Linked DNA regions of Neodiprion lecontei. The protein of the gene in region 3 purifies or fractionates together with the protein of the main gene of each other region. This does not show direct contact. Links are inferred from orthologs where the notes say so. Each region holds a gene or a part of one and is shown on either strand. Other genes may lie near its edges.

Region 1 (6,570 bases), on a different chromosome or scaffold from region 3:
TTTACGCGAATAACAACTAAAGAATGGAGCGCCGTATCGGAGAAAATTGGCACCGAGTCCCTTTCATATCTCGACTCTCGATATTATACCGTTCCTAATATATCGTATACGCTAACTCGGGGTTCCGGGAAGCTAATTGAAAAACACACCCATAACCGGGCACCTTTTCGTAAGTTGGCCTCCGTACCTCTAGCAATCTCTGAACGTTTCAAGTCACACTGATTCAACTTCTTTGTCGCAGCTGTTGGCGAATTGCTGAATTCTTCGTCAGCCTAATCGTCCCCCACCCGACGCAAATACCTGTGAGTGACTCAGTGTGAAAAATTTTGCAAATACGTGCAAATCCCAAAGGCAAACCGTACGGGTCAGAATAATTCGGTGATCGGTGCCATGCGCTGCGCGTATACACGGCGTCCCACATATTGCGTGCCATGACGGTGTTAATTTCATACACGCTATAACGTTTCATTCAGTGCACCAAAGTGGCGCGTTTCCTAATTTGCTTACGTAATTTCTGAATGAACCGGCCTGCACGCGAATTCATACAGCCGTTTTGTGCGGCGGAAAATGGTGGCAGTGATCGTTAAAAAAAATAAATTAATAAACTGGTGAATTGAGCCGGAAGAAAACGAGGCCTGTAAGACATATTATTGTACACAAGTAGGTAATCGATAATAAAACGACACGATAGAATCTTCAGCGCGGCGTCGTGGCTCATCCTTTCGTCGAGTCGTAAACCCGAAATGCGCAGTTTGGCATTTCTCATACCTGTTTCATTGCTTGAGCATAAGAGAATCTATCCGGAACGCGAGTCAACTATGAAAGTTTCAATTGAGTCATAGTCCGCGCGATTCGTTGCCAATGCTTTGCGCATACGAAGATTGAATATTATTTTCCTCATTCACGAATGAGTAGATTCGTTTTTTTTTACAGAAACTTATAAACGTTTGGATGATCCGCGTAACTTCATCGCTGCTCGTCGAAGCGTTCGATATTGTAGCTTTGAGTTTAATTCTTTTGATTAATGACGATAATCGGCTGGAAAATACCGTTAAATGCGCGCAAGTATAAGCCGTATAATAGCCTTGCACTTGTCACAACAGACCTGCTGTTTCATTAAACATTTTGCGGTGAGACCTTAGTCGGAGGTAAGTATACACGCGGTGTAGTTGTCTACATATTCCGAAACGAATAAGACATGTCGTGACTGGTGTGATGAAGCGGCGGCGGTAACCCGAGAGGCGAAGTTTATTGCGAGTGGAAAAAGAACAAAAAACCAATTATAAAATACTGACTACGTCGACGAGAGGAACAGACGTAACATATATGTACAAGTCACGACGTCAAGTGCGCTGCAAACACGTAATACAGGTATATGTGTATAATACACAGGTGTACGCTGTATACTGTATACCTGTATGTACGCGTGGCTAGGGACGATTCTTATTGTTAGCACGATATCGTTTCGCGTGACATTGATAGAACATACGTTACAGATCATACAAGGACCACGCACCCTTAGCAAAGTTGAGATGATAGAAAGGGCCGAGATGCTCCCTGCGTTCCGGCTTTCAGCTTAACTTCCGTCGCACAGTATCACCGTTATGTCTGTCACTTTTTTGCGCGTGTCTTTGTATACATATATACGTGGCTGCGCAACAGCTTAAACCTCGCCGATTAAAAAGCCCGCCACGCGGCCTTCGAATGCCAATGATAAGAAGAGCAAGCAAACCTGGTGAACGGTTCGCTCCCCTCGAGATCCACGACGCGAATCGAAGATGCAGTCGGCGGATCGTCTCCCGGCTTTGGGTCTTCCTCCTCCTCTTCTTCTTCTTCTTTTTCGTTGTTTTAATTTTTTACCAAATTTAATCCTGGGAGCTTTTATACGAGATCCCTATACTCTTCGCATCCAATACACTCGTATCCCAGTCCCGACCGAACACCGCGACGCGCTTACACGGCTGGCTGCCGGGTGACTATCGAATCGCGCGATGAGGGCACCTTCCGAAGCCTCCACGATATCGCGGACCACGAGCGATACTCACGCCAGCCGCCCGGCGCCTCCACCACACCTCAGCCGCCTCGTCAGTCTGCCTCCTCCTCCGCCTTTTCTTTTCTTTTCTTCTTACGTTTGTGCGGCGGTTGCTTCTTCTCCGTAGCGTTTTTTCGCTCGGGTACATTTGGTATTTATTGAAGGCAAGCGTCGCTCGATCAGATTTGCTTTCCGCCCGACGTCTCCGCGATTTCACGCAATGAACCTCGCTGTCATTCGAACTTGATATTAATTTGCCTTTCTATTTTTTTCTAATTAATAACTCATCGTCATTGGCACTCTTTGAATGCGGTGATACGTCGATGGACTTGGTTCTCTTTCTTTCGTGTGAGCGCAATTAATTTTGCAATTTGCATAACGGAGGAGAAAAAAAAACACCGTTCAAACAAACTGGTATGATCGTGACGCCGTCAATTGTTTCACTGAACTTTCTTAAACATTTTCTTGTTCGGTTACTACCGTATCATCAGTCGGTAGGATATGTACGGCTCTTTCGTTGTTGTCAAATCGTCATCAACGTAGAATAATCTTCGGTTATTATGGAAAAACGATGTCACGTGAATCAATAAAGATTTTAAATTTTTTCACTGGTTTAACGCAATAGTTATCAATTTCTGACCTTCTTTTGAAAAGAATTACTATCGACTAATCACGGTCGGTAAGACGGTCCCGTTCTATCTACTATTGCTTTTGGGGAGCCAAAAGCTTGATGAAAACGTCAATAGATGGAGTTACAACTTTGTTGATACGAGTACCCTCGCATATCTATAAATACATCGGACGCCATCTTTGGTGTTTACCAGTAGTGCTGTAGCTGAAACTTGGTTTTAGGCTCGACTTTCGTTGAAGAGAGTGTTTTCCGTTTTCAAAAAGTGGCCGATGATAGACAGTGAAAGCTTAGACTATATCATGATGATTCTAAGAGTGTATCGAATACGTGTTGTGTTCAATAGTCGAAATTCCGTGTCCGAGACGATGATTTAGTCGAAAAACAGTGTTGGCACGTAACGTGCGAGATATCCGACATACATACATCTCTCGTCGTATTTGTGTTTAATGGAATCTCTATAGATTAATTTGCGACTACTAAACTGCACTATCACGAATCACCGTGGACATGGAGCCGTCATCGAACAGCGGAAGCGGCGATGGAAATGACACCAAGGGCAGGTGAGACCTCCTTCTCTATTTCTCTCTGTCGAAAGTAGGAAACCATGTTCAAACGTTCGAAATTCACCGTAGCTCACTTGTTCTTACGATGTGTCCACAATTGGCGTGAAACACATCACGAACATGTTTGCTGACGACATTAATAACGGTCTTTCCTTACAAAAACAGCAAAATTCGCTGCAGAAAATTACTCCTTAAATAGAAATTACCGCGAAGTTCCCAACGCATATCGCACACATGCAGACACGGATCGTATGAGATATACGAGGCCTGTAGCCTCTGTTTACTTACTCGAAAAGTGTACGAATACTGAGAAAATACTAATTGACAGTCATTCGTACGGTGCAACGGTAAACCCAGAAATTCTGTGATCTTATTCCTAACTGCGCGAATCGTGACTGGCGCGTTTCAAGCTAAAGCCAAGGCGCCTTTTGTATTCCTAACGATATTCCGGAGTAGGATGCTCCCGTGAAATACAATGAAGATCTATCTTACTCCGAGAATATCTGTCAAATCTTTGGTCAAAGGGACGTGAGAACGTACGGATCATTGTCTGGCGATGATGTCTGCTTGTCTAAATATCCCCTGCCGCTTCTCCCCCTCCTCCTCTTTTCCCCTTGTGGTTTAAGTTATTTTTGTTATCTAGCTGCTGGGAGACGGAGTGGGAATAAGGTCTTCACCCTTGGACTTTGTACGTCTCGTGCACAACTATGTACAGCGTATACTATACTTTTATAGAAAAAATATTGAGCGATGAGCGAACATGGAGCAGAGAAAAAAGTTTCAATTTCGCAATAGAGAAATTTTTCATTTCTAGTACTCTTGGTACTTTCCATTTCTCATTTAAATATACTTTGTTTACTTTCAGCTGTTTGCTACTGCGCTACGCAAGCCAGAATTCGCTCGACGAGAGCTCACAGAAACACATTCCAAGGGAAAATGGAAAGGACAAACCACCTTATCGAAACCACCATCACACTAATCGGGCATTCGACGTGATGAATACCATGAGAAAGTAAGTGTTACATTCAATAACTTGCGTCTACCGTGCGTAGAAAATTAATAGATCGTACACATCCGGCATATGCCGAGGAAAAAAAGCTGCTTTTCGCAGAAATTTATAGTTAAAGTCTCATTAATTTGTATCCCAAGATTTTAGTACACAACCTGTTACGTTTTACTTATATAGATTTTCTATTATTTTCTCGATTTGTTTTTTTAATTTTTTTTTTTTAAATTCTTTTCGCTTCGCAACTTAACGCCTCCATGACATAACAACATATCCGACAGTGACCTTTGCTAATTCATCATGATTTCAGTAACAAATTACCGTCAATTTAGCTCCTGATTCAACGGTTGCGCGAAGATGTGAGCGTGGTCACTAGCATATAATGAGCAAACTATTACACACTTTCTACTTTTAGAGGCGCCGCGATATTCGGGGGGAAAAAAACGAACACACAAAAAATAGAATGATAATAAATTGAAGAGAAAAAAGAGATTACAACGGAACAGCCTCCGGTGAACAAACGGGCTAATCTTAAGGAGTTTCGTCATCCACCGCATGAAACGCGTAGTGCAATTTGTTTGTCTGCTCCTTGCTTTTTTTGATCTTCTTGGTCTAGACTTTTTTATGTTACGAACGTTTGGTACGTCACTGATTCAATACTCTGCGGAGTGTGGCATCTTTCGTTTACACCATCGATATAAATAATCTTGAGCATTCTCTGGAATTCTCGGTGTAGCCCGATGAATCGCCGCGACCGGATCCAGGCGTTTTTTCGATTCTTGTTAAGGATTTATGAAATACCCTCGAGTAATCGACGGACGCTATATCGGGCCGGAAGTTTAGAATTTAACACGTACCGCCGTTTCATGCATCAACAGATTTTACTGCTTATTGTAACAGCGTGACACACCTTCTTTGAACATCATTATTCCTACCCTTCGAATAAAACCTGGAATTTTCATGGTGTGAAAGAAAAAAAATGTGAACGGCAGCGTATAGACACTGGCGATGTACAAAATAATTTGAAGATTGGAATATCACATTTTTACTCCCCTAGATGAATGACCTCCCATCACATGTAACGAAGATGTAGTTCGTTGAATGTATCTTGGAAAATTCAAACTCGAAACAGCAATTACAACATTCACATGTTTTAAATCTCTGAAAAGCTCAAATATTCTCATCAATAATGCTTCTACTCGCGACCATAAAAGTGGACGCTACAGGTATTCCTCAAATTCAGCGCTAACGTTGTTATATCTGGAGTATGAAACTTTGCTTTCATGTATTATGCTCACTGTGTAATTCCCTTTTCAAAATCGCGAAAACTATCGGCGCCGTTTGAAGGCTGGAAAACTTTTCTTTGCTGTTAAAGTCGATACCTCTTCGGAAAGAAGTCGCGTCTACGATCTATTTTATCACAACTTTGGGCAAGGATAGGCATAGAACTGAGGAATGGTGAGGGAAAAAAAAGTTTGACACAAAATGCAATTGATCATAGGCAAAACCTGCTTTGCGACGTGACCTTGGTGGCGGATGGCGGGGTGGAAGTTCCTGCCCACAAAATGGTGTTGGCCGCGTGCAGCCCGTACTTTTATGCGATGTTTACGAGCTTCGAGGAGCGGGAACGAGAGAGGATCACTCTGCAGGGTGTTGACCACGCTGCTCTCGACCTCCTCGTCGACTACGTCTACTCCGCGGAGGTTCACGTCACCGAGGACAACGTGCAGGTGCTTCTGCCGGCGGCGAATCTCCTCCAGCTAAACGACGTCCGTGACGCGTGCTGCGACTTTCTTCAGGCCCAACTCCATCCGTCCAACTGCCTTGGCATCCGAGCCTTCGCCGATCTCCACGGGTGTATGGAGCTCCTCGCGCACGCCGACAGCTACATAGAACAACATTTCTCGTAAGGGTCATAGATACTCGTAACCATGATGATTGTGCGCGGTTCCCTCGTCTTACCACCTTTCTTTCACTTCTGCTTTCGATCGTGCAGAGAGGTAGTCGAAGGAGAGGAGTTCCTCACCCTGACCCCGCAACAAGTCGCCAAGCTGATATGCAGCGATCGTTTGACTGTTCCGTCCGAGGAGAAGGTGTTTGAGTGCGTTATATCATGGGTCCACAACGATCTGGAGCGAAGGCAAGACCACCTTGCTCAGCTGATGGAGCACGTCAGGCTGCCTCTCCTTTCTCAGGAGTACCTAGTCCAGAGAGTCGAACAGGAACCACTGCTAAAAGCTAACTTGCAGTGTGAGTTTTTGAAGTGGCAGTGAACAGCCGGAAATATCTATAGATACGTATGAATGTTGGCCGGAAGCCGAAGCATTTCAAGTGATTC
Region 2 (6,927 bases), on a different chromosome or scaffold from region 3:
TGACTCTTGATAGATAATAAACCGTTTTACATGTAAACTGTAAATGTACAAATGTAGAATAAAGCATGGTATCAAAACAAATAATAACAACAATTTTGTGACAAAATCACTAACTCTATAAGTTTTCTTCTATTCTTTTTTTGCTCTTCACAAAGGAAAAAACACAACCTTCGAATTCCAATATTAATTTAGTATTTTGAGAGAAAAAATACGCATGCTCCTGACACATTGACTGCAAGCACATATGTAACAGTACAAAAAGAATTTTCAGATGCAATTCGTTTAATTGATAAAAGCCATCAATTGATTTATTTCGATTTTAAAACACCTTACAATGAATACTTGTATAATTAATCATTAATAAGCAAGCGTATCACTCGTCGAGGCACTCTGTTCCTCTACCGTTCCATAATAAATAACAACCAGCTCGACTCTTACCGTTTGTATTCATACAAACTTAAAAGAAGCGCATTGTTTTATTAATCGGTATCAATACAGACTTATACGTTGCGAATAAAATGATAACCCAATTTGCCAATTTTCTCAGCCTCGAGTTTGTAAAATTAATATACAAATTTGTCAAGACAAGGGGTATATGTCAATTTCTGGATTTGGGATTATTATGAGATCGGTATGCCATAAGGGAAGGGATTCAGAAGGGCAACTGGGGCTGAGAAGCTGGCATTACTTTCACCTGAATTCATAAATTTGTATACTGTGTTCGGGAACATGTCGCAGATTCAACGACTGGAACCTACAACAATAATACACCAATAGACATTAAACAACATCATAGATTATGTCTCTTAGCATATATGTTATCATATACTGGACTAAAACATGTGCAAACAAGTTAATGTACAAACCATTCAGAGCTGCGATGGTAATAGTAGCCCTCGATTGATGCCGCAGACTTCTGGAAGCAGATGTAATAAAATCCAGCAAAGGAAGCACCATTAATGTCTGTGATCGTGTGATCAGGCACCAAAAAGTGCTCCTTCCATCTCATAAATACAAAGTCCGTCCCTTTAAGAGCTTCATAGTCAAAGGTATCAGAGTTGAAAGTCTTGGCATACTGACAGAAAGACTCGAATTTGCTCTGTAATAATAGCAATCACCATTTTCACTACTGCATACATACATAGAAATTAGGTGAATCCATTAAAGGGTATAAAAATGGAGTTGAAATGAACGAGAAAAATATGTAAAACAGTGGTATTCAGAGTCTTCGAATCAAAAAACTCGTAGAGTATTAATTCATTTTTGAAAATAATATTCAAGCAGAACTTTTTGTGTAAATAGTTCCAAACAATATTTTTATAAATACAAGTCGAGTTGTGTTCCACAGACTTTTATTCGGTAAAAATTTTATAAATCTACATGTGAGGGCATCTCACACGAATGAAGGGTGTAAGTCTTTTCATGTTTTATCTAATACCAAAACCATTTACTCATATTCAAAACAATATGGTAACCAGTTCAACAAAGATAAAAGAGAAAAAATACAGTTATTTCAAAATATCAGAGCCTTATTTCTGATAAGTTCAATTGTATTTTCAGCCAGTTTCAATGGTATATCTGCCTCAACTGTTACAGAATTCACATATGAATTGAGTAAATGAAATACACATGCATACTTATCACCACAAAAGATAAGCAAAACTAATTTCGTCTCATGAAATTGCGGGATTATCACAGATATATTATGTCACCGGATATACTAATTACGAGAAAACAACTTTGATTATCTAACACTTGCATGACAAAGACAACAACTTTGGGAGGGAAAAATAGATAGACAATGTAGTTCATAACAAGCCTTGTTTCTGTAACTTTTGAACTCTTGATAGTACGATTTTGCCCTGTCAGGTAAATGATGAAAAGTATTATACAAAGAGAAATTTGGATTCAAAACTTATTCAAAAAGTTCAGAACAAACCCAATGTTTCTTGTCAACATCCTCATTGGCGTCCCATTTTCGAGTGAGAAAAGGATACTTCTTAGATATGATTTCACCGTCGAAGAACGTTGTCAATGTAGGGTACTCTTCAGTTAACCCTTTGATTTTGAGGTACCCGCATAAGTAGCTGTTTTCTTCGTCGACATGCTGAAATGAGATCAACGACGAGAAGATTACTAGACGAGGCGAAGCGTGCTGTAATTAACTTAAAATTCGTCAGCTGAGAGCTAACATTATATTTGGTACAATATTGTAGCTGATTAACCTATAAATGAAAACGTGATAAACACGGATCAGCGTGGATGATTGGAAATGACATTAACGTTCGTTAAAATAAAAATCCGCAGACTAGACACCGCGTTCAAACAGGCCTGAGTAAAGTGTCAAAACCCAGCGCGACTCGGTTATCTGGAGAATTGGTACCCAGTTAGACACCGAGAGGTGTTCAGCAGAATCCCAACGTTGAGGCGTAATTAATCCGCAACACGAGTAGCACAACTAACCTGCAAAATAACCTCGACGTCGTAACTATTTCCTTTCGATTTTTGCGAGCCTTGAAATCTCGAGCCGTTGTAGAGGAGGGACTTTGTAACTCCAGGTTGCTTCGAGTTAGCAGGCGGCGGTGGCACCACGTCTACTTTCACCGGCATTCTAAGCCTGAGTGCTCAAACCGAGCCAACAACCATCAAACATCTCCTCGTCACAAGATCATCGCAATGACTGCCGGTAGCGCACGAAAGATGGTTGGATTTATATAAGGTCTCGACCCCGAACAACGCTGATCAAATTTGCAGCTGACTCGCGATCTGTTGTGTAAAGACGATCGAAAAATATGAATGCAAATATGCCAACTGAGATCTATTAGCCGCGGTTCCAACGCTTGCATTTTTTTATCGCGGACCATAATCGCCTAGTTTTTCGATTGCTCAAAGCAGTTGTGCGTACGTTTTCCGGATCCATGTTAACGGTGATCGGAAATGGAAGGAGAATGTTGTGTCAAAACTAAGATGGCGGAGTTTGGCGATACAAACTCCCACGACGGAGTGACGGAAAATAACCTTCCGAAACGGTGTAACAATCAGTGGGTGAAATTGAATGTTGGTGGGACGTATTTCTTGACGGCCAAAACGACGTTGGCCAGAGATCCGAACTCGTTTCTCTATCGGCTGTGTCAGGAAGACTCGGATCTCATCTCTGATAGGGTTAGTTTACACTCGAAAAGAACCGGGACTTTTAAAACCGTGCGCTAACACACGACATCATAAAACTCCACGTCTCGTCTCGAGCGTCGAGTTCCCACCACGTGAGTATATATGGCCTCAAAATTCTAATTTGCTTCTTTTTTTTTTTTATTACATCCATAGGATGAAACTGGAGCGTATTTGATCGATCGAGATCCAACTTACTTTAGTCCAGTTCTGAATTACCTGCGTCACGGTAAGCTAGTTATCAACAAGGACCTGGCTGAAGAAGGAGTCCTAGAGGAGGCTGAATTCTACAACATTACCGAGCTCATTAGATTGGTTAAGGAACGAATTCTTCTCAGGGATACACGGCCGATGCGCGACTCTAAGAAGTATGTATACAGGGTATTGCAATGTCACGAAGATGAGCTGACACAGATGGTTTCCACAATGTCGGACGGGTGGAAATTTGAACAGGTATGAATTGCTCGTTTGGCTTAAAGAGGAATTGGGTGCGCAGTTCCGCTGATAAAGTGTCTGGATGAAAAGTTAGTAGAGTAAAAATGCACTTAGCCAAGTTAAATTTGATTGAAGGAATATTCCCTCAAACAACTGGAATTTATTAGCTCAATCCAGAGGATAAACGGTTTTTTCTACGTATTACGAAAATATCTTAAACTCCGACGACTTCAGTTATAACTCTGAAATCGGTATTTCGTCATATACTTACTTTTCCAAGTACTCAAGTAGATTGTGCACCCAATGTATTCTTAGCGCAAATCAATGTAGTAATTACAATGATTTGCTACTTTCATCTTTTGTCTCTATAGCTCATCAACATTGGATCCCAGTACAATTATGGAAATGAGGATCAGGCGGAGTTCCTATGCGTCGTTAGTCGCGAGTACGGAGCTAGTCAGATCAGCAGCAAGGAACAAGAGGCGACTGATCGTGTGAAGGTATTGACACCTTATACAAACATCCTACATTCCCACCCCACTCAGAGCAGTCACGATTCATGATTCGGGAATAAGTGTTACAGTTTTTTTTGTACTTGCACACTACCCTTACACCTCCATCACCAGCATTGATATTAAGCCTGGTTTTATATTCCGTAATTTTTGTACAATTTTCTCTTGAATACCGTTTTTGTTAACGGACATTCAAAAGAGCTTCATGAGCTGGTACAGTATTTTAATCTAGTGGACCAATTTATTAAATAAAAATACAAAACAGAATACGATAGAAATATGTCATTCTCTAGTAAGAGCTAAGTATGGCTGTGTATTTCATTACTGGAAAACTTGCTGTACAAGTATCTCTTACATCTTAAAATTCGTTAATTTTAATTTTATTACGAATGGTTTTTGTACTAAATATAATGAAGTTTCATTGCATATGCAGAGAAGTGAGGAAAGATTCGGTATTTAGTTTTTATAGAAATGCCAGTATTTGTTTTACTAGTAGCACATTGTAGAAGTATTGTATTAATCATTTTTTATTGTATTTACCATTATGTAGATTGTCCAAAGATTTTCAATAACAAATCGAACAATTTGCTTTAGCTAGATGAAGTTTTTAATACGGACCTTGTAAACTAGTGGATGTGAATCAAGAACATCAGAAAACAGACTCTCTGAAAACTTAATAATAATGACAGTGAAATTGTAAGCGCGTAGTTTAACGCTTTCTTTATTCATTATTATTTTTTTTTCACACTAATAATAGTGATTTTATAATGTTTCATGTTCATAAAAGCTCTGCACTTCCACTGGTATACATATTGTATGATATTTTTTATATAATATACTACTTAGAGCAGCCACTACGAATGTTGACAGGTGTTACTGTATCCAATTTTATCGGGGTGTTATTCATTCGTTTTGCCTTCATAGATCTTATAAGATTAATCTTATCGTCAGGAAATTATCAATGTTTCCTCGCAGAATAATGCCTCGACAAACATCATATTGTAATGTTTCAACATTGAAACCTGGTGGTTCTGAACATGTTATATGTAGAACATACATATAAGTAATTTTTTTACCAACTTTTTCCACCTTATAGAACAAAAATCAATTGGGAAATTTGAGAACATCGATTTCTGCCTAATAATTTTCACGCTTATAATCGTGTATTTATCAATTTTTTCTAGTAATGTGTTTTCAGGCACGTTTCCTTGTCACATTAAAGGCAAGGAAACTTAGTTTTTATATTATTTAATATAAATTATAGAGTTTCCGCACCAGTTTCAATCAATTAAAAAAATGGAAAATTATAATAAAAGAATTTTGGAATCTTGGCTCTGATTTGTCAAATTCCAGCATCTCAAATCAAAAGGTAATCCAAATATGAGAAGGGTGATGTTATACGTTTTTAAGCAATTCGTGAACGCGCATATTAGCGAGGCAGTAGATATCTTGTGACTGAAATTAATGTTGTTTAATGTGAATTTAACGAGTCTCAAATTAAGTAATTTATATTCGATGTATTATCGAATATTCATCACAAGGCTGATCTATACATGCATGTTGTTCTTTGGAGTGTTTATATGTGATTTACTTTTATTTTGTTCAATTTTCGCTCCTCGTTACCATTGTATTGCATGCTATTCGTCAAATAAATAGTTATTTCATCCCAGTACAATTGGTTTGGTTACTATCATCACCCCGTCTTGCATGGTTACTCTGGCATGTTGATACATGGGTACAGAAATTAACTTTGGTTACAGTAATTTCTAATGTGATTGTCCAGTAGTGCGTTGTTGTATCCCTGCTTTCTCGTACTGAGAACAGTTATTATATTACTTTATCATATTTATGATCACATCGATAATACATGTAATTATATACAATATCCATCGCGTAGATATAGAAAAGATTATCTAGAATTCTACGTAACATTAAGGTAATTGATCAAAAATAAGTAGGAATGACAATATAATAAAGAAAAATGGTTTTATCCGTTATGTATTTTAAAATGAATCCAAAAGCACCAATAATTATTTTAAAAGCACGTGAAATAAAATAAAATTAAAAATAATAAGTTGGAGTTGTTCGATTCTATTCTAGGTCCTACAGCAGAAGGGCTCACGCATGTAAATCTAGTCCTGCTAGACCAACGTTGCAGCAAGAAGACGAAGACTGTGTTTTTCTTTCTTTCTTTTAATTTTTGTTTTTTTTTTCTGTTTAACTTAGCAGCTCGATTAATAAAATTTATATAGTTATGTACACACCTCTGCAACTATGTTGTTAGCATAACTTAACGAAAATAGTTTGGTAATCGGTAATATGTAACGAGTGATGAAAGTTTGTGACAATATCACGATTTCATTATTTGTTGCAGAGGCTAAAGAAGAAATAAATTCACGTACTACACATCGCAGGCATACACCGAAAACTCTTTAAGTCCAAAAGTAAACTATTTTTGTTGCATGTTGTATCGCATAATGGAGATATTTTTAACATACTGACAAAAATTCTCATCAACTTGATGTTATTTCCATCACGAATATGAATCGCATGCTCTTCCCATTTTCGTGAATTTTGGATTTCAAGGGTATTTGTCTCGTGTTGTATTCCAACGATTTGTATGATAAGTATATATTATAAATTTGTTGTTATTTAAATATTATTATTATATTAAATAGAATGTGTTGCCTGACGGTTAACAAGATGGTTCTGTATAGTAGATTTATAATCGAAATATACATGACCTGTTCACTTGACAGTGGACTAACTATAAAAACATTAAATAAACTAAACGAATAAATGAAAAATAAAA
Region 3 (9,320 bases):
GTTTTCAATGTATAAACAAAAGGTTTTATAAATATGTTTTACAATGATTTTACCATTTGATTGCCTCATTTACAGGAACTGTGAAAACCTGCATGTGCGAATATTGTTGGATTATCTATAGTCTCGTATTCCTTCGAAATAGCTGTGGACTGATATGAAACCTTGCTCTACAGCTACACTGTATTCAAATTATATAACTTCAAGACTTCCTGAGTAGCCATGGTCAAAGATCAAGTTGGATACTTGAATTGCGTATACTTTACGTAACTCCACAACTTGAATGTTGGCATAAAACGCAATTCTTTTCCACCTATATCTAAATTATCGGTAACCGGTTACTTGCTAGTTCATTGTAATGAAAGATTGATTTCAACAAATTGGTGATCGATGAGTGAGCCTTAAATGCGCCGAAAATACAGCGTTCGTTTGAGCACTGAAAAAAATTATGAAGCATTTACTTCCGAACTATCGGCTTTGGACGAATAGTTTCGAAGGGCTAATAGAAAGTCATTGTATTACAAGACCAGTGTAGTGCATCATGATAATTCCTAGGAAATTGCGTCACCGAGAGCGAGAGGTATTGCAGTATCAAAAACCCTCCTAGCCATCTAACTATCCGAACAGAAGGCTTCTAGACAGCTGTATTGGAATTTTCTCACCATGGATGCTATAGAGCTGTAGTATCGGCAGTCAGTGATGAAATGCAGCTTTATCGTTTAATGGAATTGGATAATTCATCCAGTGCGATATACCGCGGTATACATCTATGCTTGGTAAACGCGTATTTTATTATAGTTTTAGGTTACGTTACGTTCAAAAAAACCTCTTTGCCATCTAACTATCGGAACAAAGGGCTCCTAGTCAGCTGTACGGGAACTTCTTTACCATGGGGGTTGGAGGCATGTAGTTCCGGTAGTCGGTAATGAAATGCAGCCTAATTATTCAACGGAATAGGATTATTCGCCAAGTGCGATATTTTGTGTATACAATTATGCGTGGTAATCGCGTATTTTGTTACAGTTTTATGTTACGTTCCATTACATCGTGATAAAAATGTGTATTTATAGTACCGCGTGAATCGAACGCAGCCCACAGCGCTCGATTAGTTATTCGCGCTCCGTGCTCGCTTCATCGCCTTCTCCTCCTCCTCCGGCAGCCCGTCGTCATCGTCGCGGAATAATTAGGAAAATAGATCGTCTGATACACACGGTTGAAATTCGGTATGCCTCGATCTGTGGGAATATGTGCGTCATTCCATTGAAGTGAGATTAATTAAGGCGGAGGTAAAAAGGAAAGAAAAGCACAAAGAGAACTAACGAGGAAGAGACGAGCTTGTTAAAGACCGACGACGTGAGGCAGACGCGTTTAAATAACCCTATAAAATAAATTCTGTGTTTTGGTGGCGCGACTCCATTTTATACCTACCACTACCCACCACACAGTCCCGCGATAACGGGTAATTTCAGATGCCTTGTTTTCCTGTAAATAACCGACATTGACTGGTCGCTCGGTCCCCGTTGTTTCTCACCGTCGAGCGAGCGTCGATATTATTCCTCGAACCCACCATTGCGAAATACACGTCGCCCCCGCGCCCGCCCCTGGCCTCGATGCGTGAATGACACCGTTAAAGCTTTGTAAATGTGCGTACGGAGATCGAGATTTTCGCTGACTCGATTTTATAGTGTTGGTAGTAATAATACCGAAGTGTCAAGCTGAACGAAGACCCTTGAGGAGATTTTTTACTACTGAAAATGATGAAGAGCGGTGCGACCCACAAGAGAGAAAAAATGCGGATACGCGCGTTTCCGGTAAGAAGATTTCTCACGTATCTTATTTCCCTCATCGACGAATATGCATGCCCATTTGATTAAAAGGAGGAAAAACTCGCTGCTCCTCGCCTCGCCTCGCCTCGCCTTTCGACTCGGGCAGTTTTCATATTGTCACGATCTCACGATCCTCGAGGCTCGACGCTCGGGTCCGTCGGATTTCACGCACTGTCATTTAAATGGAAATATGTCCACCCGTCATCCTCCCCACCTCCTCTTTCCCGACCCCTTTAACCTAGCTCACATCGACTAAAACCATATAACAATATAATATATTTGATCAGCTTTCACTTTCGGCCCCTTTGTATATTGTATCAAGATAGCCAAACCACAGCAGCCTACGAAAGGTGCACTGGTTTGGTGAACGAACCTAATGTGTTTTTTTCCCCATTCTCACCCCCCCCCCCCCCCCCCCCAAATTCAAGACAGTTGCCTTAGCAGTCATAAAGACAATGGAAAGGAGTATGCCTTTCACTTTTTTTTCCCTACAAATCCAAAAACGAAATTTTTCACCCCGACAAACGCTACTTTCGCCAAATTTTCAAGTCCAAAGTCTTACAAATCACTGAAACTATCAATAGGCTGATAGATTGCCTGTTCAAAGGACTAGGCCTGGATGTAGAAACTCCAATTTAGTGACAGCAGTAATCACGTCTTTGCTGATGCTATATTGACAAGTCAAGGTTAATTTTGAGCGTTCTTGATATGGCGACTATGCCGATCGACACATAAAACAATAGGTTAAAGAAAGTGATTGAGCGGTCACCACACAGAGAAGGATTGGATAAAAATCCAACCATGGAACGTGGTCAGTTAGAAAAACCAACTTCACAAATTATGTGTGGAGCACTCAGTGAAATAGCTACTATCTCAGGGCTGTTTCGATCAGGGAATCCGAGCTCCCTTGTGATCGTCGACACCCTTGTGAGGGACACTGCCTATTAGTTTGCCAAATCAGCGTTGATTTTTTATTCTCACACCTAGATGCTCTGTTTTTAGATGACCATGGACGAAAAATATGTGGAGAGTATTTGGGCACTGTTGAAGAACGCCATACAAGAAATACAAAAGAAAAACAACTCCGGCCTGAGTTTTGAGGAGCTGTACCGAAATGCATACACCATGGTCCTTCACAAGCATGGCGAGCGTTTGTACACCGGGTTGAAAGAAGTTGTTACGCAGCACCTGGAGTCGAAAGTTCGGGAAGACGTGCTACGCTCCCTTCACAACAATTTTCTCCAGACACTGAATCAGGCTTGGAACGATCATCAGACCTCTATGGTTATGATCAGGGATATACTAATGTACATGGATAGGGTTTATGTGCAACAGCATGATGTTGACAACGTCTACAACTTGGGCCTAATCATATTCAGGGATCAGGTAACACATCGATTGAAACCGTTGCTTTCGCTACATCTGTACAAATCCTTTTTGACGAATCGTTATTTATTTCAGGTAGTCAGGTACGGCTGCGTGAGGGATCATCTACGCGAGACACTCCTGGGCATGGTAGCGAGAGAGAGAAGGGGGGAGGTCGTTGATCGAATCGCGATAAAGAATGCATGTCAAATGCTAATGCTGCTCGGTATAAACTGTCGCCAAGTTTACGAAGAGGATTTCGAGAGGCCTTTCTTACAACAGAGCGCTGAATTTTACAGGGCAAGTTTTACTTTTATTTTCACAAAACCATATCAATTGTCCTATTAATTTTCAATCAATCGTGTTTAACGAATATTCAACAGATGGAGTCGCAAAAGTTCCTTGGCGAGAACAGCGCCTCAGTCTACATAAAGAAAGTTGAAGCTAGAATTCTTGAAGAGTCAGAACGGGCGAAGCACTATCTGGACGAATCCACAGAGCCAAGGATAGTCAAAGTGGTGGAAGAAGAGTTGATTAAAATACACATGAGAACCATCGTTGAGGTGAGGACAAAATTTAGCAGTAAACTTCATGTATATCAAATCTTTGTTACGTGTTACAGAATTGCTCTAAAGTCTTGTAAACTTTGAAATAATTCAAATGAATGCTGTTGCAGATGGAAAACAGTGGTGTGGTGCATATGTTGAAGAACCAGAAAACTGAAGACCTTGGTTGCATGTACAAATTATTCGCGAGAGTAACAGACGGATTGCGCACTGTATCAGATTGTGTGTCGCAATTCCTCAGAGAGCAAGGACGCGCCTTGGTCCAAGAAGAGCATGAGCCAACCACAAACGCAATACACTTTGTGCAAAATCTGCTGGACTTGAAAGATCGTTTCGACCATTTCCTGCACCACTCGTTTAACAATGATAAACTATTCAAGCAAATGATCGCGTCGGATTTTGAACACTTTCTGAATCTAAATTCAAAGAGCCCTGAGTATCTTTCTCTCTTTATCGATGACAAATTAAAAAAAGGTGTAAAGGGGGTAAGTTGAATGCGGCTTGGCATGAAGATCCTTTCGTGCAGGTTTTAACTGAAATGTTACTTTCTACAGATGACAGAGCAGGAGATCGAAGGCGTGCTTGACAAGACAATGGTTCTCTTCAGGTTCCTGCAAGAGAAGGATGTCTTTGAGCGATACTATAAACAGCATTTAGCCAAGCGGTTGCTTCTGAATAAGTCCGTCTCCGATGACAGTGAAAAGAATATGATCTCAAAGCTAAAGGTACATGATCCATAATTGCGTCTTACAAACGCGCTCGTAGATGCGCTGACACCTAGTTTCATTCGGCATACTTTGGCAAACTGAGGCTAGAGTAAATTGTCCCATTGGATAGTGTGAAAATTTTAAATGGCATAGTTCTGGCAGACACAGGGCGCGTTCAACGTGGACGTGGACATCTTGATCGCAATGAAAAAGCTGAACGCTGAGCCACCCAAAGATTCCCAGGAGTCGTTCTTCCTTCAAAGGTCGAAGGGCTAGTGCACAAAGAGAAACTAGACTAGAGTATGTCCGTCCACCCTGTGTCCCGATCCCATTGTAGGATCAAGTAAGTGTCCGCTTTGTAAACCATGCTGAAAACCATGCTTCGAGCTGAGCAACCAACCGTCAAACCTTCCAACAATTTAATCATCCTTCGGTTCAGGCTCGTATGCGAGTATTATTCGTCAAAGTATTGGATCAAATTCAGACACGGCGCGTGTCTCGGGCATGCTTTACGAAGCTCTGATTTTCTTAGCCGATTAAACACTATATTGCAATTGGTGTGATAGACAATTTGGCAGAGGGAGTGGCAAAGACACATGCCTTGGAGTTCTGCATGGTTTAATAAAGCTAGCACTTTACTTATAAAAGACGTACGAATGTAGAAACCTTTCGTCAACTACTGCAGGACTTCAGGGCAGGTCAAAACCTCGATTCAAAACAGTTACCGCAGACTCTGACACTGTATATACGTACCTATATAATAACTCATAACTGTGCAATTTTTTAGACTGAATGCGGTTGCCAGTTTACATCAAAGCTGGAAGGAATGTTCAAGGATATGACGGTCAGCAATACTATAATGGAAGAGTTCAAGGAACACGTATTAACGTCTGGCGTAAGTTACAAACGTGTTGAAAAAAATCCTTCATTCTCACATCAAATCTGAAATGATCAAACTGACGTGGAACTGCTCAGGCATAATTATTTCTGGATAATTGTTTATCAAATTTCACAGACAAGTCTACACGGCGTTGATCTGAGCGTGAGGGTTCTGACAACAGGATTTTGGCCAACACAGTCAGCAACACCGAATTGCAGTGTGCCCTCAGCGCCAAGAGAAGCGTTTGATGCTTTTCGATGTTTCTACTTGGCCAAGCATAGCGGTCGTCAACTGACGTTACAACCACAATTGGGTAATTACTAGTCATCTTTGTTGAATCGAGTTCAAGCAGAATTGGCAAATTAATGGTTCATTGTTGACCGTGTGCACAGGTTCGGCTGACCTTAATGCGGTTTTCCATGGGCCTCGGAAGGAAGACAGTAATGGCGGAAGCGTGGACGTTCCCTCGTCCTCTACCACATTGGGCAACGGAAGTGGCAGTCTTTTAAGTCAGCGGGGAAGCAGCAGTGGAAATCCCCGCAAACATATTATCCAAGTATCGACGTACCAGATGTGCGTACTCATGCTCTTCAACAACAGAGATCGACTCACTTACGAGGTTTGTTACATTCCCATGATTTTAGTTGGTAAAAAGATAAATGATCTCTACTGATGCCAGCGTTTATTAATATCGCAGGAAATTCAGAATGAAACTGACATCCCTGAGCGAGATTTAGTCCGAGCATTACAATCTCTGGCAATGGGGAAGGCGACTCAGCGAGTTCTCCTCAAGCATCCCAAAACTAAAGAAATTGAGCCAACACACTGCTTCAGTGTCAATGATAGTTTCACCAGTAAGCTTCATCGGTAAGTTTTGAGATTGACATTATATCTTTGATCGTTTCTGCCTTATATCGGGTCTGTCCAACTTCTAGAGTAAAAATCCAGACGGTTGCGGCGAAAGGAGAGTCCGAGCCTGAGAGAAGAGAGACGAGGAACAAGGTTGACGAAGATCGAAAGCATGAAATAGAAGCGGCGATCGTGCGAATTATGAAGGCACGCAAACGCATGACAGTACGTATTCGTCTGTCGATCGCTTCATAAAATGTATGAATCTCGATCGTATTCGTTATCTCATACTTTGTTTCAATCTAATTAGCACAACATTCTCGTGACGGAAGTCACGGAGCAGCTTCGAGTACGATTCCTGCCCTCACCTGTCATCATCAAGAAACGCATCGAAGGGCTGATAGAACGTGATTATCTGGCCCGCACGGAAGACAGGTGAATAACACAGTTCTTTTTGTTTTTACCGTTCTTATATTTCCCACATGACTCAAACAAAACTTCGGTTCATCCCTACATTCACTATTTGTTACAGGAAAGTCTACACTTACGTGGCTTGAACACTGCCCCAAGCATCCCCAAGTTTGTACAATTGCGTAAGTGGCCACCCCAACATATTAGGCACGGTATTCACAATCTCGTATTAGTATCAAGCCTGCGCGTATTTAATTATTCGGATATTTCCTCGGCAATCGTTGTTATTATATTATCCTTCCCCCTTATCATAGAGATTTAAAAAGAATAAACGAAATTTTTTACATTCGATACCGAGTTGTTTCAAATATATATACTATGTACACATACGGCCGTCGGCAAGGGTAACTGCGTAGAGAACGCACGACGTGTACTTCATGAACCAAACTGGGTATTTCTGGGGAATTGTTATGCCCCAAAGAAGTTCTATAATTGCTCATCGTTGTCACATGACTGTCAACTAGTCTCGTATCAACTAATCGAACACAACTGCTTTGTGCAATACAAATTTCCTCTGCACATTCCAAGTCTTTTAAAATTAATTTGTGTTCAAAGTCTGCACGAATACTTTCTCCGTACTCTTCGTTTTATTTGTTTTGATTCGGTTTTGCTATTTTCTTTTGTTTTGTCACATGTGACAGTGATGAGTGGTTAACGGTAACGGACGTTTGTAGAGTGTAACATAAGATCTATAATAATGAAATCAAAACATTAAGATATACTTCATTTATTTATTTTTATTTTTTCCAGAATCTATCGACTCTGATATTAAGAACTCTGAGTCGAAATAAAATGAATTGATCGTATAAAATCTGTAACTAATTTGAGAAAGAAAAAACTCGCCAACGGTAAACAATATAGATTTAATTATTATAAAGAATTTAAATTATTCCAGATGCATTAATGAATTATACTTGCGTACATTTTACGTGTTATACTTCCGCCCTACCCTTGTCCCGTTTCATGTCCACTTCCTCTCTGAATAATTCCTTGTAGAATTTGGCTCTTGCAAAAACTATAAAATAATATACACAGGTATATTGTCGTGGGTAAAACAGCGACTGCCTATACCTAATTTGTTACGAACGCGACTGTAGAAATTGAGTGCGAATGTGCGTATATAATATATGCGAAAAGTTTTTTTTTGACTGGGTGTATAAGTAAGGTGTGTCTGAGTATGTATCTTCAAACTATTGTATATGATAATGAAAAAAACGTTGTATCAATAAATGGATTTAAATACAGTCAATTTTACCTATAAACATTATAATGGGTGAACCCTGATTTGGGACAAGAAATTCATACATTTTATCAGATTCACGTATGACGACAGAACAGAAAAAATACAAGAAATATGAATGCTCTCGTATTACGTTTCTATCACAAAAAATCGAACCTGTGCTTCAAAAAATGGTACAGTCAGAATCAAGTTTTCAGGTTCGTCGCGGTACAAATGCTGATCATTACGTGTACAATTAAAAATTCCTCTCAAGCAAGACCGGATTCTGCGCGCAGGGGGAATTGTGACAGATCGTGCGCGGCGTCGGCAGCGATCGGCGCGTTGTTAGTTTGCCGCCGGTGTTGGTGGCGCCAGGACTTCCAGGGATTGGACCTCCGTCGCGAGCTTGTCAGTACATGTAATAATTCACCGAACGTGGACGAGGCGTTCGTTTCATCTGTGTGCGAAAAATAATGTGCCGCTACCAGTCCGTGTTTCGACTTCTTTGAAGAGCGGTGAACAACGAGGGCTGGATGATTTCGCACCCCTGCACATTAGTGAGTACCATTGCATCCCTCTCCACTACACAGCCACCATTCGATTTACGAAAATTCATTGCCAATTCCTCTGACAAGGTCAAAAGAAGTCACGTGCAGGCATGCATTCGCGTCCCGTACGTTCCGGGAATACGTAATCGCGCCGCTGCGTAAGATAGAAAACCGCGATATCCCCACTAGGAAAAAGGCAGCGCACGCGGTTTCCTCGATATAGCGACCCTCATCCATTCGTCCAGCGGCAATTGATTCCTCTGTAGCATCATAGCGCGGTATTATACCACGATTTCCCATTTCGACGGAAGCAGTGATTCGTACTCGCGTATTCTTCCCGGTGTATTGTATCACGGCGTCGTTTCCACAGCCCCCGGGAACACGGAGGTGAGAAGAGACGTTCGTTCTGAAATACTTCCTCCTCGCCGGGGATATAAATAAGTTCGTTAATGGCCTAGGATTGCCAGTTCTTCCGGGGTGTGGTACACGAAACGCCATACAACTGTCCCTGAGCCGACGCATTCATCATGTACGTATAATGCTATATGTTCGGCCTTAGCTTCGGAATGAGCAGTTTTGTCGGAGTGTCGGGTGTTTCGCAAATTGCACGACCTGCACACACACGTTCGCTGTTGTTATTTGCGGCGAATTGGGCAACGCACCGACGAACTGCGGATCCCTCGAATCGGGTCCCCCATCGATTATTCTTACTCTCGTAGCAGTTTAGCGATTCGTCACATTATGTTGAGTTACATTTTTTTGCACAATTCACAGGGCCGGCGGTATGTGGCAATGGTATTCGTGTTGCATGCGTACCTACAGTCACATTGTGTCCGCCGCGTTTAATCATCCGATATGACATTTAAACTGTTGGCACAATCGCAAGTTCGCC

The links.
Region 1: the proteins of cullin-3-A (region 3) and ring canal kelch homolog purify together in Drosophila melanogaster (affinity purification with western blotting; 3 studies listed by BioGRID). This does not show direct contact. The link is inferred for Neodiprion lecontei from reciprocal best matches to the Drosophila melanogaster genes Cul3 and kel.
Region 2: the proteins of cullin-3-A (region 3) and BTB/POZ domain-containing protein KCTD5 purify together in Drosophila melanogaster (affinity purification with western blotting; 4 studies listed by BioGRID, with this or other methods). This does not show direct contact. The link is inferred for Neodiprion lecontei from reciprocal best matches to the Drosophila melanogaster genes Cul3 and inc.

What each region holds. Positions count from the first base shown.
Region 1 is NC_060260.1:28,569,614-28,576,183, forward strand, and holds the start of ring canal kelch homolog, read left to right. Parts: upstream 1-2,763; 5' UTR 2,764-3,170; coding exon 3,171-3,223; intron 3,224-4,091; coding exon 4,092-4,238; intron 4,239-5,733; coding exon 5,734-6,138; intron 6,139-6,228; coding exon 6,229-6,482; intron 6,483-6,570. UniProt on the Drosophila melanogaster protein: Component of ring canals that regulates the flow of cytoplasm between cells. May be involved in the regulation of cytoplasm flow from nurse cells to the oocyte during oogenesis. Binds actin.
Region 2 is NC_060261.1:41,717,806-41,724,732, forward strand, and holds BTB/POZ domain-containing protein KCTD5, read left to right. Parts: upstream 1-2,935; 5' UTR 2,936-2,937; coding exon 2,938-3,162; intron 3,163-3,324; coding exon 3,325-3,621; intron 3,622-3,974; coding exon 3,975-4,166; 3' UTR 4,167-5,784; downstream 5,785-6,927. Other genes in the region: glucose-induced degradation protein 4 homolog, read right to left, coding at 691-754, 867-1,099, 1,940-2,107, 2,464-2,610.
Region 3 is NC_060264.1:23,156,070-23,165,389, forward strand, and holds cullin-3-A, read left to right. Parts: upstream 1-2,609; 5' UTR 2,610-2,624; coding exon 2,625-2,750; intron 2,751-2,825; coding exon 2,826-3,209; intron 3,210-3,284; coding exon 3,285-3,488; intron 3,489-3,571; coding exon 3,572-3,751; intron 3,752-3,864; coding exon 3,865-4,239; intron 4,240-4,308; coding exon 4,309-4,479; intron 4,480-5,248; coding exon 5,249-5,356; intron 5,357-5,476; coding exon 5,477-5,654; intron 5,655-5,733; coding exon 5,734-5,960; intron 5,961-6,038; coding exon 6,039-6,208; intron 6,209-6,276; coding exon 6,277-6,415; intron 6,416-6,500; coding exon 6,501-6,625; intron 6,626-6,722; coding exon 6,723-6,747; 3' UTR 6,748-6,783; exon of another isoform or gene 6,784-7,411; 3' UTR 7,412-7,905; downstream 7,906-9,320.